Linked DNA regions of Schizosaccharomyces pombe. The gene in region 1 interacts genetically with each later gene. Each region holds a gene or a part of one and is shown on either strand. Other genes may lie near its edges.

What was found.
Region 2: of rem1 (region 1) and crs1, changing one enhances a phenotype caused by changing the other (phenotypic enhancement), as found in Schizosaccharomyces pombe (one study listed by BioGRID).

What each region holds. Positions count from the first base shown.
Region 1 is NC_003423.3:1,951,976-1,957,216, forward strand, and holds rem1 (meiosis specific cyclin Rem1), read right to left. Parts: upstream 2,738-5,241; coding exon 2,276-2,737; exon of another isoform or gene 2,191-2,275; coding exon 1,444-2,190; downstream 1-1,443. Other genes in the region: SPOM_SPBC16E9.20 (uncharacterized protein), read left to right, coding at 1-386; phosphatidylserine decarboxylase Psd1, read left to right, coding at 3,734-5,047. UniProt on the Schizosaccharomyces pombe protein: Required for pre-meiotic DNA synthesis and S phase progression. Regulates levels of meiotic intragenic recombination.
Region 2 is NC_003423.3:3,451,015-3,455,408, forward strand, and holds crs1 (cyclin Crs1), read right to left. Parts: upstream 2,503-4,394; 5' UTR 2,393-2,502; coding exon 2,105-2,392; intron 2,064-2,104; coding exon 1,904-2,063; intron 1,864-1,903; coding exon 1,808-1,863; intron 1,756-1,807; coding exon 1,575-1,755; exon of another isoform or gene 1,527-1,574; coding exon 1,309-1,526; downstream 1-1,308. Other genes in the region: ade9 (trifunctional formate-tetrahydrofolate ligase/methenyltetrahydrofolate cyclohydrolase/methylenetetrahydrofolate dehydrogenase), read left to right, coding at 1-1,138; protein mug110, read right to left, coding at 2,732-3,403, 3,447-3,521; myr1 (N-myristoyltransferase 1), read left to right, coding at 4,210-4,394. UniProt on the Schizosaccharomyces pombe protein: Has a role in meiotic chromosome segregation.

The DNA.
Region 1 (5,241 bases):
AGGAGGAAGAGAGAAAAAGAGGAAAAGAGGAAAAGATATGGTTTCATTCCAAGAAGATGAAAATTCATGATTATTGTATTGTATTGTATTGTATTTTATTTTATTTTTATTTTGTTCTTATTTTATTTTATTTTATTGCATTATATTTTATTCTACATCCATTCTACTCGACTATTCTCTTTTTCTTTCCTTTGTTTATCAAATGCTCTCATCTTCACACCCTTACATCCTTTTACTCTTTACTCTCTTCTCTCTTCTCTTCTCTCATTCCTAAGCACTCCTTGCATCTCGCTCCACTACGAAAACTAAACTTATCGCACTTTGTTTCTCCCCTCTGTGCTATGTTTCCCCACGTTGGCTTGCGCTTATTGCAAACGACGCAATGATGACGAGCCCTTGGAGACAGGGAAACCGGGGAAATGCTACGTCGATGATGTTTGCAAATCAATGTGTTTGCCAATGTTCAGCAACAACAATTCCGTCTGCATACTCTCTGAAACATTTCAAATGTATTTAACTCAACAAATGTTACAACCCAAACTTTTTCTATTTACGCCCAAATACGTTGATAAGCATCTTTCAAAAGAACTGCTCGTTTCATCAAATGACTGCTCCAAGGATTCCTATATTCATGAGCTGATATGGCTATTCATAGTATCATAGAGCATATTATCAGATAAGACAAATTAGGTTACAGATTTTTGGTAGCATAGACATCTAGATACACACAACAACAAGATATAGATAGGACCACTAGGTAAAAATTATTATTAATAAAATATATACCCTTACTAAAAAAAAAAAACAAATAAATAAAAATAAAATAAATTTAAAATAATAATAACAATAATAATATTTCTTTTTTTTATTTTCTTTATTTCTTTTTTTTTTTAATTTAATTTTGCTTTTTATTCTTTTTTTCTTGTTCAATTTAGGTACTTTTCTTTCCTTGTCTTGTTCATCTTTTATTTTCTTTTACTGTATTCTAAGGCACTCCTTTAATAAAAGGTACTTGGTAGCGATTCCTCTTCTCCTTCTCACAAACCTTTATTAGCGACATCTACCGCACTACCAACCTCTCGACATCAACTTGACCCTTCGCTTCTCTATTCCGTCCCACCCTCCCTCGCTTTTTACAAACCTTCTTACTTAGCGATACACCTTAATTCGAGCTTCTTTCACAAAAGTCCATATCAAGTCGTTCGTCTCCCTTTTCACTTCTATAACCCCAGTCTTTACTCTCTCGTGTAATTTTTTTTCTCCTACTCTTACTCTTCTACTTTTACTACTACTCTTCTTTTTTCTCTATTTTCCTACACTTCCCTCTCTCTCTCTCTCTCTCTCTCTCTCTCTCATCCTCTTCATATCTATCTTTCATTAAATTTCCTACATCTTACTTCTTCTTCTCTCTCTTTTCCCTCCTTTTTCTCTTCCCCCCCCCCCTCAACTACCATCCATCGCCATCAAGTTCGTATTTGTCGCAATCCAGTCATGCACTTGTCGACTAATCCCATGGAAATACGGTGTTGCATACTTTGAATAGATCGCATAGTGGTGATCAAACGGATTTTCTAGACATTTCAACAGTAGATGCACATACGAAACTAAACTCATATAATCATATCCCGTAATTTGAGGCAACGTATTGCTCCAGTTTTCCTCTTGCAATATAGATTGGCCGGTGTAGGCGCATGTCGCTACCAATTGACTCGCCCTTAGACTTGAAAATCTTTGTTCCACTAGCGATACTTCAAGAAAATATTTTATCATTATTCGCAGCTGCGACTCCCATTTGTTGACAATCGTCAATAGCCTCAAAAACGATACTGGCCCCGGCCACCCAAGTTGATATTGAAGAACCATAAGCATATACTTTTCCATTCCGCAAATATCTTCTCCTATCCATTCTCCCTCCAACACTATTTCCAAATCTTTCACTGTAGGAGGATGGATCTCTTCATACTTGCAAGCAATAAACAGCGCCGTTGCGCCGCAAAGTTTCATTTTCGATGCTGGCACATTTTGTAGAGATAGAAATCTATCCAATACATTGATCGATAGGAATAAGGATTCTGGAAGCAGGTTTATACATGTATGCACCCCCACAATCCAATTGATCACACTAGCCCTCATCTCTGTAACATAATATGGTTGAGCCGACATATGTCGGTAATCAGGCATAAATCGAATCTAAAAAATGTTAATAAATAAAAACTTCTTCAACTCCTTCATCTTCTTGTTTTCCTTCCCCCTTTTCTTCCCATTTTTTTCATACCTCCAATTTCTCCATGTGCGATAGGATTTCTTTTGCGTATTCCACAGACACCGATTCATCTGCTGAATATCTCATCTGTAATTCCTCCTCTTCATCCTCCTCTGCACAATTGTCATTTGATTCTTCAATCGCTATGCCAAATTCCGAAACACTGCAATTAGGACTTTGAACGTTACTGATCGAGCAAACATCCAAATCTACCAAAAGCTGTTTCTCCGTAAAGACTATCTCTTCCTCTAAAGGTGACGCTAAAAAACTATCATAGTCCTTTTGTATTTGCGACTCTTCAATTGAACTAATTCCATGCCAGCTCTGTGACGGAAAATGTTTATCTGATGGGCTACACCCATTTTGAAGGGATATTTCTCGTACCTGTGCGTTCACCCAGCCTTTTACGTTCAATGATTTGGAAACATAATTGCTTATTTCTTGAAGCGCAACTCTTTTGTTGTTAGAGTTCATGTTTGAATTGGTTCTCGTTGCTGAAACGGTCGCTTTAATTGTTTCAACCAAGCTCTTAGGTAGGCAAGTATCAGTCAATACAATTGCTTTTACTCTTTAATGATTGGGAATCAAATCAAACCGTTTTCTTGAACTTTTTGTTGTAAAATGGCAGTATGCTATTAGCAGGTTCTGTTTGTTTACAGTGAGTCAACAAAAAGTTGATGGTGAAAATGTTTGTTTATTTCCCATATACATATACCAACGGTCGTAACCTTAAAGTAAAACACAACCCAAAACTAAACTTTACCTCTACTATATCAGAATTCATGCTGCTTAAAAATTCCAAACAATGCCCGAATTCATGAAATAGGTTTTTGTGTTGATCGAAACGTTATCAAAGTAAAGCAAGGATTTTGATCAAAAACTCTTTTATTATTTGTATTGATGAGTTTTTACAGTCGCTCATCGGTTGTAAACATTCCATTATTTTACCGTTTTCGAATCATTGAAAACTGAACATAAGAAATCTTGCTACAATTAAGCTTTTTTTCTATTAGGTAACCATCAAACAAGCTTAAAAAAAATAATTAATTTACGCCTTCTCGTAAGTTATTATAATCAAACAAATTGAAATGTAATTGAAAAGAATCTCCTATTCTAAGATTTTTCTACAAACTTGCTTCGAAAGTTTCTTCTGCACTTATACAATGCTATAAGGAATATTCCTTTCTTCTAATTTTGATCGATTTTCGCAAAGTAGGATTGCCTGATACAATGTCAAGGATCTGATTTAATTTCCTTAAAAAAAAAAAAAAGAAAGAAAATGAAAACTCAACAACTTTAAATCATATTACAGTTCCCATATTTACTTGATATCCCAAGTTTACTACGACTTAACTTCTACCACTATCCTTTGAGAAGCACATGGATTCGAAGAAATAGCATATGGAAGTTTAAAAGTTAACGGGTCTCCGAAATCCATTCAAAAGTTTAATTCCATAAAAACAATCTAACATGCTAAAATTTCATCGTAATGTGAAGCCTCAATTTGGTGCATTTGCAAGGTATAGTAGTTTGGGAAAACACAACTCTCGTAAACGGGTTGGAATCATCCGCTTAGCATATGGGTTGACAGGAATCGGCTTGGTTGGATTAGCTGGCTTCGCTTGGGCTCAAGATCGTCACGAGAAAACGTATCAGAAGAAAGGCGTTCAGGTGGAGGGACCATGGCAATTTTATGTCCTTACCACTTTACCATTACGAACTCTCTCGCGTTGGTGGGGATATGTTAATCGTATTGAGATTCCTCTATGGATGAGAGTGCCAGCGTTTGGCCTTTATTCTAAAATATTTGGTTGCAACTTGACAGAAGCTGACCCCGATGATGTCCGCCAATACAAAAATCTGGCCGAGTTTTTCACCAGAAAGTTGAAACCTGGAGCGCGCGTAATTGATCCCGATGCCCCAATTGTTATTCCTGCGGATGGGAAAATCTTGAATTATGGTGTTATTGAAGGAGGTCAGCTTGAACAAGTAAAAGGTATAACCTATTCCCTTGATGCACTATTGGGCGATGAGAAGTTAGCTCGTTTGAAGCGCAGCCATGCTATTCCCTCTCCCGATCATATCCCTCACATTCGTCAAGAGGAGTTTGCCAAGTTAAATGGTATACATTACAGTTTACAAGATTTAATGGGTCATGATCATGGTGAACGACCAAGCCATGTCAAAGATGCTAGCGCACAACATATTGATTTGTTAAGCTCAACAAAAGTGGCAGCCAAATCACAGTTTACGTTGTTCGGATCAAGAGAAACGAATTGTTTATACTACGCAGTTATTTACTTGGCACCAGGTGATTACCATCGATTTCATTCGCCGACTGATTGGGTCGTAGAACGAAGAAGGCATTTTTCCGGAGAGCTGTTTAGCGTTTCTCCTTTTATGGCTCGTCGACTCGGAAATCTTTTCATCTTGAACGAAAGAGTAGCTTTGATGGGGAGATACAAATACGGGTTTATGAGTATGATACCCGTCGGTGCTACAAATGTTGGCAGTATCCGAATTAAATTTGATAAAGATTTATGTACGAATCAGTTTGGAAAACTAGGCCCAGTAGGTACTTTTGATGAGGCTGTATACACCTCATCTTCTTCTATTTTGCATGGTCACCCATTACTTCGTGGAGATGAGGTCGGAAATTTTGAGCTTGGTAGTACAGTGGTATTGGTGTTTGAAGCACCTGCGGATTTTGAATTTTTGGTCAAACAAGGGCAGAAAGTTCGTGTGGGATTACCTTTGGGTCGAGTTGTCCCATCTTCCCATTAATAAAAGAGATGAACACTCATATTTTAGATTGTGGATTTCCCATATGTTTAATTTTATTTTCATTGTCTTTTTGTTGAAATCTACAAACTTAAGGGATTTTATCTTGGAATTTCTTTGTTTCAATATAGCAAGCAATGCATATTGGTATAAACTTGTTGTATTAAAAGGACGGACTGGATAAAACGAGAAGAAAT
Region 2 (4,394 bases), 1.5 Mb from region 1:
CAGTGAATGCATGTCAATTCTGGCTCTTTCATGTGATTTAAACGACATGCATTCTCGTTTATCCCGTATGGTTATAGCCAACGACAAATACGGAAATGCTATTACTGCTGGCGACCTTGGAGTTTCTGGAGCATTGACCGTTTTGCTTAAAGACGCTATCAAACCTAACTTGATGCAAACTTTGGAAGGAACACCAGCGTTTGTTCACGCAGGACCTTTTGCAAACATTAGCATTGGCGCGTCTTCTATTATCGCTGATAAAATTGCTTTAAAATTGGCTGGTACAGAAAGCTTTGACAGACCCGAAGATGCCGGCTATGTCGTTACCGAAGCAGGATTTGCGTCTGACATGGGAATGGAAAAATTCTTTAACATCAAATGTAGATACTCAAAACTTGTACCTAACACCGTTGTTTTGGTTACCACTGTTAAAGCGCTTAAGTTACATGGAGGCGGTCCCAAGTTAAAACCTGGTGCCCCAATTCCTGAGGAATATCTTGTTGAAAATCTAGACCTTGTAAAGAATGGATGTTCCAACATGGTAAAACACATTCAAAATTGTCATAAATTCAATATTCCTGTTGTTGTCGCCATCAACAGTTATAAGACTGATAGTTCTAAGGAGCATGAAATAATACGCGAGGCAGCGCTACAAGCTGGAGCTGTGGATGCTGTACCTTCGGATCATTGGGCCCAAGGCGGCAAAGGAGCTATTGAATTGGCCAAGTCCGTAATGACGGCTTGTGATCAGTCATCCAATTCGAAGTTTAGGCTTTTGTATGATAGCGAGACTTCAATTGAAGATAAAGTAAATGTGATTGCAAAAGAAATGTATGGAGCAAACGGTGTTGAATTTAGTTCTCTAGCTAAGGAACGAATAAATACGTTTATCAAACAAGGGTTCGGTAACTTACCAATTTGCATGGCGAAAACCCAATATTCTCTTTCGCATAATCCCGAATTTCGCAATGTTCCAAAAAATTTTACAGTTCCTATTAGAGATATGCGTTTGAATGCTGGCGCTGGCTTCATTTATCCGCTAGCTGCTGAAATCCAAACAATTCCTGGTTTACCGACTGCGCCTGCCTATTTAAACATTGATATATGTGAAAATGGAGAAATTGTTGGGCTGTCATAAATCTACTAAGAGGAAATAAAGAAAATGTTGGCTATTCATTGGTAATTTATTATTGTTTTAGTTAATTAGGTTTATGGGCGTTATTAAAAAGGGTTTAGAGTTTTGATTAAATAGCTTAGTTTTAATAATTAAGTTCATTAGAATTTGGGTTAATAGATGGGTTTGAAGCTTTATGCTAACATATCCGCTATACGCTGGATAGATATAATCAAATCGTGAAACCGATTTGAGTGTTTAATATAAGTTTCATCTGCAGAACCATTTGTGGGCAAAGAACACAAATGTTGAAAAGGTTTGAAATCAAACGCAGAAGGCCAAATAATTTCAAGCAAGACCCAGAACGAAGCGCATAAAATTTCCGTCGGCCTATATTCGATAAATTGACAATCTGTTCAGATTAGCGTGCTATCCATTAATATATTATCAATCTACTAACCCTTCATTACCTCAACCAGTAAATACTGCCATTCAACCATCATTTGATCACAGCTTTCAGAAGGCAAGGATTTAAAGAATACATGTTGGAAGATCAACGGTGTTAAAAAAGACTCAACAGAAGGAAGAGAAATGACATATATATCGAAGTTTAATAAAGCAAGAACAATTTTCTCGTATTTCTATTAATTTGTTAAAGAAACATGTTTCAACGAGCTGTAAATCACTACAAACCTCTAAGTTTTTTGTAGACAAACTTGGAGCCAAATTCTCGCAAAAAGACTTCTTCGCTACAAAAGAAATTAATAACAGTTTTTATCGCGAACATACCAACTGAGTAGTCACTTGTAAGTTTAAATGCAATGAACAGACAGCCGATAGCATAAATTTTAAAACTGGTAGTTGGAATAGTTGGTTTAACGGTGAAACAACGATCCAACAGAGAAATTGCAATGCACAACGTGTCCATAGATACGTAGCCGACAGTTTCCTGTTTCGTTAGAATCTCGAAAAATAGCAATGCTGACGCACTTCATAAAGTACAGAAAAAAGTTGCTGACGCTTTTCCTTATAAGCAATGTTTTGATTCAGAATAGAAGGGGATATTTTTGTGAGTCCTTTCTTCTCTTGCTCAATGATCGAATTAACGGATGGGACGCGTCTAAGATTTATTAAATGACTAGAGAAAGACTCAGAAAATGTAACATCTATTTCATTAGAAGTTGTTAACGGCCCTTCAGAAATAACCTCTTTCTCGGATTTGCTGTTAATAGCGGGAGTGTTTAAGAATAAGCTAAATTCGTGTTTAGATGTAAGCATTTCATAAATTTTATAATTTAAATGATTATTAGAATAAGGATGTTTGTTTGAATTAAGAAATTCAATAGTGATTTTCTAAGTCTAGCCGTATCTGGGTATGTGTTGTGGTTAAGGTCATTTTGGTACGTTTACGCGAAAATGCTTTTGGATATCAATCATGCATAGTAGAATTAAACAGTCTAATGCCATATAAATGCTTATAGCATATACTTATATAAACATGAAATAGAAGTATAACAATAATTAGTATTAGAATTGCTATAAATTCCAGAGAAGAGAAAACACTGCTAGCATAAATAATAACTATGGCATTCCTGAACCGGTGAAGTAAGGAGATACTCAGGTTTGATTTGCATTGTTAGAAAAAGCATGTGTAGATGTAACGGATGGAACAGACAACACTTGATAGGGTGGAGGTAATGAATCTGAGATGCTCGCTGAGGCAGAAGGATAACGAAGATTAAGAGTTCGAGAGATATTTATAAAGTTGTTAGAAAACCCGTATAAGTAAGTGTTGTTAGATGCTTCACGAGTATTGGGAGCTTCAGGAAGTAAAGCAGGTTCTGGATATGGCGGTAAGACACGATTCCCATTGCATCGACCAATACCTATTCCATGATAAGATATGCGAGGTCCATGCTTTTTAAGTTTCGCCAACTGACGAAGCTGAAGTATTCTGGCGTTAGGCGTATCAAAGGATGGATATGGATTTACACCGCCTTCGCCAGCTTTAGAAAAATTCAAGACAACATCAATTCCTTCTCTCTCACCTTCAATTCCAACTAGCCGTTCATTTTCTTGAAGGCTCGCAGAATATTTTGGTAAAGTGATAGAAGGCTCGACTATTGGAAGATCGTACATATCTGTTTCCAACTCTTCCTCATCATCAATAGACATGCAGCAGAAAATGGATCTTAGCAGTCTGTTCTTTTGGTAAGTACAACTATGATATCTTTTTATAATGATCAAGGCAATAAAGAAAATAGGGATTAAAACAGAAAACCAAAATACCTAAAATGTTAACCTTTAAATTTCAACAATTTAATTAACTTACAAACCGTAGTTCTTTTAGGTCTTCTGTGCTAGCAAAGCTAGAAGCTTGATCATTTTCATCAGACGATTCAACCATTTGATCCTAATTCAAAGCACTCAGCCAAGCTTAGCATAAACTTGTTAATGAAATAACAAGCAAAGCTCCAAAAAAAAGAGAGAAAGATTGATTTTCCTTCGGATCCCACTCCAGTTACAAATGGTTAAAGGATGAGATTCGACTTCATGCGAATAATGCAAATACCAAGATCATGTAAACAAACAAACGCTCGAAAAAAGTGCCAAGTTCAACTCATACATTTTATCGAGTATAAAAATATGGAGACAAAATAAATAGGTTTACTATTTCATCTATTGTTCATTTTTTAAACGATCATGGAATCTTATGTAATGATTTGTATTTTGAGTTTTCTATTAATGCAGCAGCTTCAAGCGCAAACGTCTGCTACTCATTAAGTAATCCATCTCCCCTTAAAGATAAAATTAATAAAGGACTTTAACTAATTTTTTTTATCATCAAATTTGGTTCGCTAAGGAGACAACAATATGCTGAAGCGTTTCTCACGTATAGTTATTTTTTTTATTTTATTCCTCTTTATTAAGTAGTAAAATTAAATTTTGAAGGTTCATTGGCGAGAAACGCTTCTATTATGCAGCCGACGTTTTGTCGTTAGTAGACCTAGTCCATCTGGAAATATCCAAGCTAGAACCAAACTTGACTTTACGGCCAACTTTGCTTTATTTTTAATATTTTTGGATTATTTACGATGGACAACGAAAATAATAAAAATACAAAAAATTCACAGCAAGACAGCTCATTTTCTGAAGGAGGAATTCGTGAACTGCTAGACCGATTGGCGTTGAGATCTTTGATAGAAAAAGAAGAAGCTGCAGCTCCCCCAAAGACTTACGAAGATTTCAAATTTTGGAAAACCCAGCCAGTTCCTAAGTT